Linked DNA regions of Arabidopsis thaliana. The protein of the gene in region 1 interacts with the protein of each later gene in a pairwise test. Each region holds a gene or a part of one and is shown on either strand. Other genes may lie near its edges.

The links.
Region 2: the proteins of bHLH071 (region 1) and FRU interact in binary tests that used the Arabidopsis thaliana proteins (3 or more experiments, as listed by UniProt).

What each region holds. Positions count from the first base shown.
Region 1 is NC_003076.8:18,941,683-18,949,952, reverse strand, and holds bHLH071 (beta HLH protein 71), read right to left. Parts: upstream 4,411-8,270; 5' UTR 4,315-4,410; coding exon 3,958-4,314; intron 3,639-3,957; coding exon 3,171-3,638; coding exon of another isoform or gene 3,123-3,170; exon of another isoform or gene 2,678-3,122; coding exon 2,519-2,677; 3' UTR 2,316-2,518; downstream 1-2,315. Other genes in the region: AT5G46680 (Pentatricopeptide repeat (PPR-like) superfamily protein), read right to left, coding at 7,429-8,270. UniProt on the Arabidopsis thaliana protein: Transcription factor. May be involved in the differentiation of stomatal guard cells.
Region 2 is NC_003071.7:12,001,297-12,009,307, reverse strand, and holds FRU (FER-like regulator of iron uptake), read right to left. Parts: upstream 4,651-8,011; 5' UTR 4,596-4,650; coding exon 4,119-4,595; intron 4,038-4,118; coding exon 3,837-4,037; intron 3,762-3,836; coding exon 3,585-3,761; intron 3,502-3,584; coding exon 3,400-3,501; 3' UTR 3,313-3,399; coding exon of another isoform or gene 3,305-3,312; 3' UTR 3,032-3,304; downstream 1-3,031. Other genes in the region: ATCHX7 (Cation/hydrogen exchanger family protein), read left to right, coding at 19-1,032, 1,631-2,296, 2,491-2,937; AT2G28150 (UPSTREAM OF FLC protein (DUF966)), read right to left, coding at 7,081-7,138, 7,240-7,509, 7,766-8,011. UniProt on the Arabidopsis thaliana protein: Transcription factor. Essential protein involved in iron uptake responses. Regulates FRO2 at the level of mRNA accumulation and IRT1 at the level of protein accumulation. Confers enhanced iron mobilization responses at low iron supply.

The sequences.
Region 1 (8,270 bases):
CTCTTTATTACTTGCATCTTTTCTTCTAGGACACTGAGACGTGAGAGAATAAGTCTTCACCGGTCGAGATACTAGACTAGAAAAGGCACCAATAAGCGATACCCAAATCCAATTTCACAATGATAAAATCCATTTATTGGTATCAGTGGCGCATCTTCTCTAGAATGTATTCATAAGGTAAAATGGTAAACCAGAAATTGTCTATTTACCGCATAATCTGTTTTTTTTTCTAAAAAAAAATCCTTACAAACCTTATTTTGAAATTCCTTTTTATTTATGTGCAGTGGATAATACCACATGGAGGTCTCTCTTTGCTCAAGTTATCTCCTGAATTAAGACAAACAAACAGATTCATTGAACTTGGGAGACATTAACTTCCACAACAATTTGTGAACTCCATTGTGTTAGAAGATTCTATATGCAGTTGTGATGCATCTCTAGTGTGGAAGAGCCGATGCAAATATTTTGTCCCATCTCGAAGGACCATATTTAGTAATCCTCATTATTACAAACAATCTTAGCCCTGGGCACAAGTACTCGCTACTCGGCAATTACTCGCTACTCGGTTCGTACTCGTCTTGAAAATTCAAGTACTTGTCATAGGCAAGTCAAGTAACAAGTCGGTTTATTTTATTACTTGCAAGAGCAAGCCAAGTATCAAGTATCATAATTTTTTTTGATACTTGACTCGTTACTTACCTCGTTTTGATACTTATCCCGTTACTTGCCTCGTTACTTGCATCATTTTGATGCTTGTCCTTTTACTTGCTCTGTTACTCGTTATTTGTACATGTGACTTGTGGGATAACTAATAATTAGGTCTGGATTTTTTTTTTTTCTATTACTTACCTTGTTAATTGTTGAACATTGTATATTTGTTACTAACATACTAATGCTTAAATTATTATAACAAATTTATAATTTTGGTTTGGTCTATAAAAGCTAAAATTTTAAAATTTATTATAACAAAACTCATTGACCTTAAATATTATGTATGAAATAGGGTTTTTTATTCCAAATATTTTAGGTTCAAGTAAAAGTATTTAATTTTGACAAGTAACAAGGTGGGTCAAGTAACTTGCAAGTAATTAAAATTTAGACAAATACTTGGTAGACCAAGTACTCGTTTTAACAAGGCAAATAACAAGCCAAAAATCCAATTACTTTGACAAGGCAAGTCAAGTCACAAGTACCTCCAAATCGGCAAGTACTTGCCTTGTGCCCAGCCCTAAACAATCTTAGTTAAACGGGAGAGATTACGCGGGTCTATGTATATCTTTTCGTGTTCTCTCAACAAATGCAAGTATTTTTCACATAAAGGTACATATTAATAGAACAGAAAACAAAAATCAAATACATATCCTAATTTCTTTTTATATACAGACATTAATTGTATATATGCTAACAATCTAAAAACAAAATAAATTTGTTTCTATTCCCTTTATAATAAACAACAATACCCTTCTTAGAACGAACCAGTTATGTGGAAAATGTGAACATGTTGACCAAATTCGCATGGAGTCCAAAGGAGATAATGAAGAGAATCTTTATTTCGTGAAGAAAAGTCAAGATTTCCACTTCTTTATGGGTACAAAGATCGTCGGTTACGAGTAAAGTCGAATATGATAAGCATTGAACGAAAAAAAAGCAGCGGGTACCAAAAAAATTGTGTATTGTACCAAAATGATGAGCATTTATCATCCTATCGAGTATGAGTGCAAATTAAGTCGAAAGATAGCAAACAATTTTGGAGAAATATAAACCTTGTCCGAATACTAAAGTGAAGTACTCTCGCCTCTGTTGCCAGCCTTGGTGGCCTAAAGCTAGACGGATATATCAAATAAAGCCCATATCTAAAACTATTAATATGGGCCACTGGAGAAAGGTCCATAAAATAGTGTCGTGGATGTTGATGGTAATATAACAACATAAGCAACCGAACACAACAATCTCACTCGCAATGATGGCGGATGTCTTAAAATCTTCTGTAACAGAATATCCAAATTAATTTATCACAAAAAGATTTTAATACGATTACACATTAACACGTAATTGATTTCTTTAGATTTTTCCATTTGCATGTTACAACTTAGCCTCTTAAATTGACAACTATCTCCATAAAATATCATCTGTTTAGCCCTTGAAATTTTATAAACACACTTAAAAAGATTTTTAGTATATACTCTCTACTAACTAATATCCAAGATCGAGAGCCTAGCTAAATTTTTTGATGATTTGTATATATAAGAATCCAGTTATATATATAAAACAATTCAAACACTCACAAGTGTACTAATTTATAACTTAATTACTATCAGAAAATGCATAAAATTAAGAGTAAAACAACTAATATGTTATGTGCCATTATAAATTCACATTTAGCCTTTACAAAGTCAGAAAAAGAACCTAGGATTTTAAAAGAAAGCTTATGTGTTTCTTCATTCTGAAAAAAAAAAACTAAAGATGTGCTATGTGATAAAATTAAAAGAAGGAATAACAACAACAAAAAAGAGATTTCTCAGAGAGAATGAGTGACATTTGAGTGATTCAAAGAGAAGTCAAATGGTAATTCTGACATTGATGAGCAACAAAAAGGCTCCTCTTCAATGATACTTAGCATGTGGTGAACTGCTCCTGCAATGTCATCTACTGAACTTAGCTGGCAACTCTCTTCCACCTTTCAACATCCAATAAGAAAATGATTTTACAAAAATAGCATAATGTGAATTTGAAAAAAGCTTCAAATTGTTACAATTTTTATAACCCACGTGGCAATAATTGAACCTGTTTTCAAGAAATGGGTGAAAAATAAGAAAAATGACTCCACCAAGTATGGTAATAAATGTTGGACCAAATCTAGTTAAGAGCTCATAGACATTCCTTTTATATGCTCTGTCCCTTGGACCGCACATAATCGACCGTCTAGCTTTAAATTCCTAACATATATTCCCAAAATACCCCTCAAGTCGCATTTGAACAAATCCGGTTTAGCTCCGGTTTGTATCACCCTAGTTACTGATAGAGTTTTTTTTTTTTTTTCATCAGTTACTGATAGAGTAAATAGCATAAATGTCCTATCTTGTAATCTGTTTGATCTAAATACCGCACAAATTGCATTGAAACTAATCCGGTTTAGTCCGGTTCAGATGATAGGGTTTTAATTTTATTACCTTAGCGCTGATGGAGTAAATAGCATAATTGTCCAATGTTGTGACACTAAGGTGAAGAATGGAGAGGGACAGCGATTGTAGAGAAGCCACCAGCTTCGAAAGCTGCGGCGGTTTGGTGGTGGCCAACGTGCTCCACCGGAAACCTCTTCTTCTCGACAAGATTCTGATGTTAGCATGAGTTTCGATTAGAGTCACCTCAAGATCTTCCATAGGGGTTTTCACCGAGCTTGTTGAGCCGTTCCTATTCTCTTGGCTCGGATCGTATGAATGAAGAAAGAACTGCGATAGAGATAGTGAAGATGGTTGATGAGGATTCTCTTGTTCACCATTTGAGTCTTGACTTGTTGAAGAAGTAACCGACTGGTTTAATTTAGCATTATGATGTTTTTGAGCTTCAAGAGATAGTAATTTGTGTTCAAGTTCTTTGATGAAATCTATGGCTCCACCAACTATTGAAGCTTGATCACCCTTTCATGGGGAAACAAATAAATCCACCAAAACAACATATAAGTAAACAAATAAAAACCCAAATATATATTTAATAAAAAATCAATTTTTTAGAATTGGCCATAAATATTGAAAATCAAATAGATTTAAACCGTTAGAATGAATCTTTCATAAAAAATAAAACTCAAGATGAAAATTTAATCTTTTTCAGTGAATTGTAAATATTAATTGAAACCCAAATCGAAATAGTAAACCATTTAAAAAAATTATCCATAAAAATTGAAACCCTACTTGAAACTTTACAAACATTAAAAAGAATATATATCCATAAAAGTTAAACCTTGTGAGCAAAAGGTTGAGGCATGAGAGATCGCAAGACAGAGAGATGTTGATTCATTTGTCTTCTTCGATTTCTTTCGACGGCAATGTGAGTCATTCGTTGATTCTCAGCTTCTTCCTCGTTTTTGCAAACCCTAGGCTTCCTCCTCCGCCGCTTCTTCCCTCGATTCGTAGCTGGTGGTTGTCGCTGTGGTGGCGGTTCTTGATTAGATATCTCCGAAATTGTGTTCTTCGATATGATGACATCATTTTCCGGCAATGGCTCGAGATCGACGAGAGACTTGAATGGAGTTGGTGAAAGAGTTTCAGAGAGCAAAAAGTTTAAAAGACCGTTTGATGATAAAGCTTCTAGAGTCATTTCTCTTCACGAAGTTTATTCCTTATTGAATTACTAAGTATCATTGATTTATATAGCAACATTCCAAATCTTTAATTTATTGTTTTCGAAAAAAATATATAAAGGTTATAAATATTTGCGGGCGAAAACGACATTTTCGAAAAAATAAAAGGCAATGATTAAAAGGAAATTTTTTTCTTGACAAACGTTGAAGCTATGGTGCTCTGAGTGTGTGTACATGTGAGACATTATTTGATTGTGATCGGTACTATCATGGAAGGGTACTTCTGAAGAAAACTTAATTATGGACTTTGCTGAATGCCATACTTTTTCTTATTAAATCTTGTAAAAGCTTGACTATTGCTAAAAACATGCATAATCACATATATATTCATTTTCATGTTTCCACATATTATCAGTTGCAATTCGTACACTTGACTAACTTATTATCACAAACCTAAATTATGATAAGAAGAGATACAAAGATCATATGATTTCTCAATATATGTTTTTTTTTTTCTTTTTCTCGAGTCATCTATTTTGATCATATATTTTATTTTATATAAGAATTTGGAAAATGGAAACATAAACCACATGTACTCGATATAGGTTAATAGTTCAGCCAGGTTTAACCGATGAAGTTATCGACTTCGAAGAAAAGACTACGTTTACCATGCTTTGATATATGTTTAAGGAGTTGGCAAAAATAAATGACACAAGCTGTATAAATTGTAATCGTTTACCTAAAATCATAACGTACAATTTGTTTTTTGATTAACTCATAGTGTATAAATAAATATAAAATGCATATGTATATATATTCATAGATGAGAAAAGGATTAGAGAAGGAAGAAGAGCAATGGAGTGCTGGTGGCACGTGAGAGGGGTCAGAGAGAGTCTAAGGTCTTGTTCTTTTCTCGAAATCGTGGACCATTCTTTCTTTTTCACTTAATTACCCTTTTCACTACTCTAAAAACCTTTAATCTTTTTACATTTTTCAAGTTTCAACCTAAAAACAACTCTTTGCAACCCCCAAAAGGAACCATATGTAATTCTTGTTCGTTGCAAAACTCAGACTTCTATACAGAAATGTTAACGCAATTGTTTGCATAGTTGAATCTCATTTTTACGTTTGAGATCATGCGTTGGCATTTTACCGAAAAATGTTTGAAGACTTTTATAATGCAAATGCAAAAACAAAGCGTATATATGTGATATGGTATTCGATAAAAAAAAAAAAAGGAAGAAAACTCAATCATCTAAATGGAGACCAAATTCCAAATATTCGACTCAAGAAGAAAAACAAATGGGACCAAACCGGTTAGGTATTTAGCAATGTTGGACCGTGGGGACCGGACAATAACATACACGTAAAGAGACAAATGAGTGCTGGAAGAAAGCAAAATCTCACAATTGCTATTTATTTTCCTCTTGAATATATATATATCCATAAGATTTTTTTTTATAATATTGGGAAAAGTGAGTAATTATTAATTGCAATTGTATGCTTATAATTAAAAAAGGACTGTCTCCATTTCATCAGTCAGTTTTGTTTGCACATTAGAAGGACCAGAAGAAGCTATGAAGGTAAAAAACACAACCCGTGATTTAAAACAAATTTCTCTATTTATTTAAATTACTTTTTAACTATCTGCACTTTTTTGTTTTTTTCTGATACAAATTGTCAGATCTCTCAAAAACAAAAACAAAAAACGTTAACTTTCACGAATTAGACAACAGCTCCGGACACAAAATCAATCAAATATTTTCGGTAACAGAAACAAAACACTCCATGCAAAATTCTACAAGTGATAAAGTGTACAAAACCAAATTAACGACCTATAATTAGACTACAATTACTAAATTTGTTTATTCGTTTACCACTCAACAATGGCCGTTGCTCTAATACCCAAAAAGGGAAAATGTTAACTTTCACGAATTTGACAATAGCAAGCGAAAATCAAACAATACTACAATAGTATTAGTTTTAAGGTATCTAGTATGTAGACTCCTTTTATTCTCTTAATTAACCTTTTGGTTTATTTTGAGTCTTTTCATATAAGATTTCTTTGTGACGACCTTTAGGGTTAGAGTTGTTTTATCGGTTCGATTTGTTTCCACCACTAGGGTTTTTGGATGATCTCAGTATTTATAATTGCTAAATACAATTCACATTTGTTATGCTAAGTAAAGTATACACACTTAATATTAATCAGACTCTATTTGTTGGTTAATTCAAAACTATATTCTCTTAATCTCTTTGACAAGCAACAAAAACCTTTTGCTTCCAAGTTCCAACGTCTCTATCTCTCTTTTTTTTTTTTTTTGGACAAACTCGTCTCTATTTCTTATCAAGAATTTAACTTAAAAAGATTCCTGTGAATGTTTTTAAACCTAGAAAACGTGTCTACTCTAATCTGATTCGTTGCATCAACAAACAAACACGTGTTCATGTCTCTAAAAAAATTCTGAAAACATCATCTCTAACATGCAATAGATCTTTGTACTTACGTAGAGAGATTAAGAGAAGTCAGTGTAACATTTTACAAAGTCCGAGAGAGAGAGACGACAATAACAACAAAGAGGACGAAGAGCAGTAACTGTTCTTGTCAGATTTGTCCACGTCGAGAGACTAGACTCAGTCTTATCTTTTAGTCCTCTGCAAAAAAAAAAAAAAAACTTTACTGTTTTCTGTTAAAAACAAAGAAACCCAAATAGTAAAAAGTTCTAGAGAGTAGGTTCATAGTTCAAAGATTAGCTTTTTAACTGTGTTCAGAAGCAGCACATGAGTAACATGGCTTCGTTTTTGGGACCAGTGGTTTCAAAAGTGGTGTCTTTGGTCATTTTGTCTGAAGTTACTTTGGTCCCTTAATTCTTAAAAGACTCTGACCAAAACTCTAATCAAATGACTAAAATTAAACAAAGTAACTGATAAATTATCAAAAACTTAGCTATATTGAAGAGCTTGTTGCTTAATAACTCGAGTCATTGATATGGTTGATGAGACTTTGGCTAATATTACAAATATTCAAATGGTTAAGAGAGTTGTCAAATCTCGACTAGAATTTAGTATGAAAACATCCCTTATGCTCATGTACAATTCAATAATTTTTCTATTAGATACTTTTCAATGTCTTAAGGGTACATTAGTGTATTACACTCAATAGCTGCTTTGATTTTGATATGTGTCTTCCTTGCTGCTTGGTAAGATACCGTCTCCCGTATGCCGGACAACACTGCTCGTCTAGCCGATGACGGAATCTTCATTCCTTTATTGTAACACGACAAGAGCAGCTTCGAAGCACAAACAAGCCGTCCGTCTTTGCATAGATTATGCACAACAGAAGTGTAAGTGAACTCATCTCTAACTTCCATTGACGCAAACAACCTCATTGCACGATCTACATGACCTGCTTTGCACAACCCATCAATCAAACAGTTACAAGTGACAACACTCGGCTGCATCCCCATCTCTCCGATACATGCCAAATGCTTCTCGGCTCCTCCCGTATTGCCTATATTTAACAAACCATTGACTATAATCGTATGAGTATAGTCATCAGGTTTCAACCCCTTCATCTCAATCTCCTCCAATAGATCATCTACTGCATCCAAGTTCCCATCTTTAAAATACAAATTCAACAATGTATTGTACGAAACAATGTCTTGACTCCTTGTACCACTTCTCACAAGCTCGTGCATACACTCATACGCCTCCTCTGCTCTTCCGGTTTTAATCAACGCACTAACAACCGCACAATTCGCAAACCCGTCAAACGTATACCCTTCTTTCTTCATCTTCAAAAACAACTGAAGACCTTTCTCAATCCTCTTAGTCTTAAAATACATTTTAAGCATCGTTGTATACGTAACCGCATTCGGAGTATAGCCCGATTTCTTAAGCTCTCTCATCATCCAATCCACAGAACCAACCCTTCTCGATTTACAAAGACCATTGATGAGAATATTATACGTCA
Region 2 (8,011 bases), on another chromosome or scaffold:
ACAATTGTATTGCTGAAGGGGTGTGTGGTCATCAACCTGTTTTCTTACACCAGGCCAGGCTCTTTGCTTCATCGGATGTTTTTCCCGGACGACGGGAGGCCAAAGGTTGCCGAGACCGGGGGTGCATTCGGGTTTGTAATGTACTGGTTCCTTAAAGGCGTGTCTATAGACGTTGGGATGCTTAGAAAAACCGAACCGAGGGCTGCTTTAATTGGGTTCAATACATTGGTCATCCCATATATATCCGGTTACATTCTAATGAGGACTAGGAAACATTTTGGGAAGTTGGCAATGACGGAACTTCAATACCAGGAAATCATATTATTGCAAAGTTTATCATCATTTGCTGGTGTGAATGGACTCTTGACAGATCTCAAGATCAACCATTCCGAGTTTGGACGAATGGTTCAGTCTTGTGCCGCGGTCACTGACTTAGTAATCTTTATAATGGTCTCCGGGACCGTTCTTTTAAAAGGACAAAAAGGTTTACCACATGGTATTGTTATCGTTTTGGTTATAGGCTTCTTGGTCTACATCGTATGGCCGGTCATGTTATGGATTATCAAGCAGACACCAGAAGGCAGGCTGGTTAAAGATGTCTACATTTACTTGGTTATGGCTACCGCATATTTTGTTTACATGTTTTGGCTTAATTTCTTTCAATTCTCAACATATGGCTGGTTTATTATCGGTTTGGCTACCCCGGCTGGGCCTCCACTCGGATCGGCTCTCATTCAAAGATTTGAATGTTTTAACGTTGGTGTTTTGTTGCCGCTCTTTGGATCTCTTAGCATGGAACAACTAGATATATCGTGGTTGATGCGAGAGATACTGAACCTTAAACACATGGAGGGCTTCGCTTATGAAGCTATTTCGGTTATCTTGATCGTCACCGTGGTTAAATTTGTCGTCACAGCAATAACTGCTTTTGCTGTGAGAATTCCATACCGAGACTCCATTGTTTTAGCCATGGTTTTGTCAAATAGAAGTATCTTTGAGCTCGGCTACCTCGGCTACATTGTCGAACTTAAAGTAAGAACTCAATTATGTTTCAATCCTTCCATTTTTTTTTTACATGCTACAAATTTAGGGGTGTTCAACACGATTTTAGCTCGGTCTTAGTTTCAGATTTTCCGTTAATGAACCATAATATGCAAAGTACAGCATGATCTGTTATAGATGATTTGGTATGATTTAGGTTCGCATTCGAGTTTTAGTCACATATTTCTTTAATTTTCAAAGAAATTTCGGTTTTGATCGTTTTTCTCTCCTTCCTTTTTTTGTTTGTTTTGCATTCGGATTCATTTTGCAGATATACATGCAATAGGTAAATGAATCTATTAAACCATATAGATTCATGATTCATTTTTCAAAATTATGATTTCCTGTTTTTGGACCAATCACTTAGTATAAAACCAATACCTTAAGCATTAACACTTATTTGTTAAATTTAACATGTTAAATTGTTAACTCTTAAATTTCAAACGTAGTAAAATAATTTTGGATCTTTTTTTTTTTAACATGTAATGGCAAACACATAAAAATAAAATATTGAGGTTCAAAACAATAACAAACTTATTGATCCATCTCACTACATATTAACAACAATCCATTCTTATTTTTAAAACAGATGTTCGACAACAAGAGCTTCACGATCGCGGCTCTATCAGTACTTGTCAGCTCGCTATTGACACCGATCGCGATAGAATTCATGTACGAACCACAACATATCTTTAGTAGTTACCGAGATAGGAACATGTTAACCTTGAAACATGACTCTAAGCTGAAGACCCTTGTGTGTATTCACAAGCCTGACCACATAACATCCATGGTCAACTTTGTGGAACTTTTTAACCCAACACAAGAATCAAAATTAGAATGCAATGTTCTTCACCTTGTGGAGCTCATAGGTCAGGCCATTCCTACCTTCATTTCCCACAAGATGCAAAAGCCGAAGGTTGGAACACGCTCTTGCTCCCGCAATGTCATAACTGCATTCTTAAGCCTTCGTAGACATTTAACCAAAGAGGCAATTTCCATTGACATCTTTACATCTGCTAGCTTGGTAGAGCACATGCACGAGGACCTCTGTTGGCTTGCCCTTGACAAGAATGTAGCTCTCGTTGTACTTCCTTTTCACCGTTCTTGGTCTGTTGACCGCTCAACCATTGTCTCTGACGACAAGGCCATGCAGAATCTCAACCACAAAGTCTTGAAAAGAGCGTCTTGCTCTGTTGGAATCTTCGTCTACCGGAAACCTTTATGGGAATCTCAAATGCACGGCTCATGTTACAAGGTACTTGTTTTTTTTCTTTTGTAATTAAGAGATCTCATGGTTAATTTTTGGGGTCGTCTGGCTTCCAACTCAAAACAAACCGACGATTAGTATATTTGGCCCATGTTTTTTCTATACTAGTGTTGGTACCTACACATTTCTTCCGATGTGTGATCTTAACAAGTTCTAAACTGGTCTCGTGGTTTGTATTTCAGGTGTGTGCAATAGTTGTGGGAGGGAAAGACGATAAAGAAGCCTTAGCATTCACCAACCGTATGAGGAGAAACAAGCAGACAAGCGTAACCATCTTACACCTCATACCTCAACTTACTACCGAGGAAAGCGAAGACTCGGTGCAGAAGTTGGATTACGATGACATAAAAGAGATAATGAAGACTGAGGATTCAAATGAAAATGATTCATGGATATGTATAGAAAAAAGCGTCAAAGAAGGGGCTGAGACTTCAGTGATACTTAGATCAATAGCGTATGATTATGATTTGTTTATAGTTGGAAGAAGTAGCGGAATGAATAGCGCAGTTACAAAAGGATTAAATGAATGGACAGAGTTCGAGGAACTTGGAGCCCTCGGAGATGTTATAGCGTCAAAGGAGTTTCCTTCAAGGGCATCTGTCTTGGTCTTGCAACAGCAACAATATTAGAATCTTTTTGTTTTACCATGTTATGAATATCCAAAGCACAAATTAGGTTCCTAGAGTTGAGTCGGCGATCCATATAGGTCGTCTGTACTGCTTTCTCGGGGTTAAAATTCTTTATTCTTTTACCAATCAAACAGAGAACAATACATAGAATCAAGATGTGAATGGTCTTGCAACAACAAAGCAATAATACAGCCAATGAACCAAAACGTGATATATCAAAGCAAAAGAAACTTAAGACTTGAGACTATAAACAAAACATAAATATTACTTCATTTAACCATACAATTTGTCGCTAAATTACTATATAACATGGTGTTTATTCAATAGAGAATCAACAATCTCGGTTACATCATCACTAGAATAGAAATTAGAGCCCTGGAAGTTATGAAACATGTAAGAAAGGTACACAATCAATATAGTGCAGAACCGGATTTGACTCACGTTAGAGCAAGCGTTATAGAATCAAGTAAATGACTTGATGAATTCAAAACCTTGATTTAAAAGTGATCCAGTGATCCACAGCTTCAGGTTAGGCAAGTTTAAGCTCTGTTCGAAGCATGTCCCCTGTTTCCACCACACAAGAAAACTCGGTAAGTAAACGGTATACTCGGAAACAAAACAAAGTAAAAGGGCACAAGTTGATTTACATCTAAGGTATATGTTAAGAGGTATGTGTCCGGAGAAGGAGAGCTTAGGTTAGAGTTCTGCACTTGGAAACTTGTAAGAGACTCCAAAGACTTGTAAAGAGATGGAGCAACACCTTCTCCTTTGTTACACACCAATCTCACATAAAACCCTTTCTCCTCCACTTGTATAACATCCATCTAACACAACAAAACATACAAACTTTAAACACTTTGATGTTTCAAGAAGATTGATTGGTTTTTTTAGGTTATTACCTGAATGATTTTTTTGGAAGCAGGAGGATTGATACCGCGAAAAGGTTGAGTCTTTTGAGCATCAGGAGCATGTTCTTGGTACCCTCCAGTAGAGTTTAAAGAAGCTTCAAGACCCGCGATATCGGATTTGAGTTTCTTCGCTTGTGACTGAAGTTCTTGAACATACAACACTGCATCTCCAACAATGGATGCTTTATCCATCTAAATGCCAACACACACATACTTCATCAATATTTACAGTTTCATTAGTCATTACCAAATCTTGAAAATGTTGTGACTTACCTTAGTAATATTGGGAACAAGAGATCTCAATGCATAAAGCTTATCCTTCATACGCCCTCTCCTTCTTCTCTCAGAGATCAAAGTCCTAGACCGATCAGTCTTCGTCTTACGGGTCCCATCATTATTCGTAGTAGTGGCTGAAGAATCATCACCGTCGTTGTAATCTTCTTCATCTTCTTCACCACCGGCTCTAACACTATCACCGTCGAAGCTACGGAATGATTCAGCAACGTTGGAGTCTAAGTCAGGCAATTCGTCGAAGAGGTCATCGACAGGTGTTGGGATGAACTGGTTCTCGTCTATGAAACAGGGGCTGTTTTGTAATGGACCAAGATCGAAATCAAGAACTGGGTTTTCGTCAATGGTTTGATGATCTCCTCTTATGAGGTTTATGAACTGATCGAAGTTTGGATCGACCAAGAAATTGTGAAGTTCGAGATCGTTTATGTTTGACAGAGCGTTGACTCTTCCTTCCATTTGTGTGTTTTTGTCAATGAAGAAAAGTTGTTGACAACGAAAGAGAGACAAAATGAGTTTATATAATAGAGTGAGTATGAAATAAACTGTATTAATTAACATAATAAGTTAAGAAATCAATTAAAACAAATTTAAAGAAATGTACTCTTGATAGTTGGTTGATATTAGTTTATTCAGTTACGTCTTGTAATGTCATGCATGACCTGTATATTATATGTATAAATTATGTTACTCGAATGATTAATTTGTCGTGTTGCATGACAATTATATTTCCACATTGTTCTTCTTTATATTTTATCATTTGAATTTTTTTTTGTGGTGGAGGGAATGCAGATTAGAAACAAGAGTATATGTTGATCAAAAAAAAAAAAAAATATATATAGAAATAACACACATTTTTGGTCATGTCTTTATTGGGAGAAGTTTTTTAAAATTATACTACTTTCCAAAAATATCATTTTTATCCATTTTCAAAAATACCACAAATATTTAGAGTTTTTTAAAGTTATAAAATATACCAAAAATATTACTATATAATTTAGTTTATGAATACATTATTATGAGTTTTGGTTATTAAGACCTTATATAGGCATATAGCATGTATATTAAGCTCATAATATATCCTGTTACTATATAATTTAGTTTATGAATATATATGAGTTTTGGTTATATAAATAAATAAATCGATCAGACCGTATTAAAAAGGTGTTCATAAGTAAAAGTTTACTACGATATTAGACGTACAAATGTTAGTGTACTGTTTATATTTTTGAATTTAGATCCACATATATTCTTGTTTATTAAAATGTTAGGAATTAATTTGCAATCGGCTTATTACAACTGTAGATGTCAACTGGTTTAGTTGTCACAAGCTAGAATTTTAACAAAAGTTTTTCTCAACATTTTTATGTTAGTGTATTTAAAAAGTACTCCAATATGATAAATATGTTTTGTAGAAAAACGGCCAAAATTAATTTCAAATATAAACTTAAACCAGCATAATTTTCAAATAACAAACCAACTCTGGAATATAATAGCATTTCAATTATTTTCTTTTATTTTTGATAAATGCATTTCCATTTTTCAAATCATTTAAGGATAAACCGCAATTAAATTATGAAGAAGCCTGTTCAATGCACGGTTTTCGTTCTTGTCTCAACAAACAAACAAAGGATAGCAAAGAAAGACAGTATAAAATATTAAAGTCTTGGCCGGTTAGGACAAAAATCAACTCTTTATAATATTTCAAGTTGGAATATTTTTTCAGGTATATAACTGTAAAAAAAAAAAAAAAAAAAAAGTCAACCAATTATAGATTCCATCTAGGTGTTGAATTTATTAGAGAAACTGAACTTTTGAGCAACATTGGATTTTTGGGATACTCCACAACTTTCAAAAACATCAACCAATTTCCAAATAAATATTTGAATAATGCTATTATGTCAATTTAGTAGATGTTTGGTTAGATCGTGGCTGTAAATTTCGGTCTGTAATGTTTCTGATATAATCTTATTTTTGCTGTAAAATTTTTTTTCACATATAGCCTCTAGAGTTTAAAACAAATAAAAATTGTTGTAAAAACAATTCATGAATATGGCATACTTTGGTTCAAATATATTTGATACATGTGAAGCTAGCATAATTTTTACTGAAATTCTTCCTATTTCGTTTTTTTTTTGCCACATGATTATCTTTCAGTACTCCAACAAATATGACAACTCTTTTTCTTTTCTTCACTAATTGACATTTGGAACAAATACAATTTTGCTGTACCTATCACATCTTTAGAAACATAACTCTGAATAAGTCACAAACTTATGAAGCAAAATATTTTGACAAACTTTTTTCTTTTTTCCTTTTCTTTTTCCTCTAACCTTTATGCATGTCAACTAGCAGATAACTTTTAATTTGTTCACCCCAACAAAAATGGGGAAAATATGAAAACTCCTTTTCTTCTCTATACAGACATGGAACAAATTCAATTTTTATGTGACTTATCAGCACATCTTTAGAAACACAACAGCGGATAAGTCATGACTCATGAACATCAATAAAGTATTGTGTCAGATTTTCAGATAACCGTAACTATCGGTTACAATTTTGAAAACCGAAATGGCATGGATTCACTAATAAAACCAAACCTACCAATGACCACACCAATCAGTAAACAATGACCACACCAATCAGTAACAGTGGTCCATCCATCTTCTTCTCATCTCACATCACATCAAAACATTAATACCTTTTGTTACCAAACTTTTTTTTCTCAATTTACTTACACCTTTTCTCTGCCCAATACCAACATTTAGTGCTCTCTCTGAAATCTTTCTATCCTTTTTATGAAACTTTTTTGCCATTTCTCTTTTTCTCATTCCACCTTTCTAGATTTACAATCAAAATGGAGAAAGTTGCCGCCACAATACAAACCAGCAAAAGGGTCTTTTTAGATTTCAAATTTTTCAAAAAACACGCCTCCTAAACTTGGTTAAGGCTCTTCTGAAGGCACTTTCGATTCGATTCTAACTCGTGCTCCTGAAGCAAGCCTGTTCAAGATACATACAAGATTTAATAAACCTGATATGAATCAAGATAAGATATGTTCATATCAATATATTGAACAAGATTCAAGATGTTTATGTTTCACCTTTCGTCGATCTTGATAACTCTCTCCTCGTCTTCTCTGAATGAATCGGGCTTCCTTAAAGACTCGGTTATTCTTTTACTGCAAGCATCATGTGTTTTAGTGGTACATGGAATGTTCTTGGTAGTATCTTCTGATGAGTCTCTTCTCTTTTCGGAGACAAGTGGTTGTTGCTTCCCTAGAATAGAAGACGCCTTTCTTGAGCTTGGATTATTTTTAGAACTATCCGGTTTTGAGTCTCCATTCTCTGCTACACCCATTTGGTTGGATGCCCTGAAAAAACTCACATGAGATGTGTCCTCAAGAATTCACAGAGACTAAGTATACTACTCAAATCAAGAACCTTTCCAATCACATATTATGACCCTAACAAACCAAAGATAGCTTGTTGTAATTTTAGTGGGAAACTAAAGGCAGAGACTTTTTTTTTAAGCTGTGATTTTGGCACAAGAACACAAGAACTGTCTTAACATCAAAACATAACACAACATCCAACAATCACTAGCAGGAGTGTTTTTCAGAAATGTACCTGTCACCATTGTAGGATGAAGAACGCTTAAGAGAAGCGTTACTATCCGCTGCATCCTTCTTCTGTAGCTTAGTCTCCACTAAGCTCCCACTAAAATACTCTTTCTCCTCCATCCTCAGGCCCATTAGACTCGGAGTTTCCGACAAACGGTCAAGATCTCCCATCATAAACGACGAGGAGAAAAAAGGAGACGGAAACTTCGAGTGTCCAAATTTCGGTTTGTAAGTAGGTACAAGGCCGAAATTG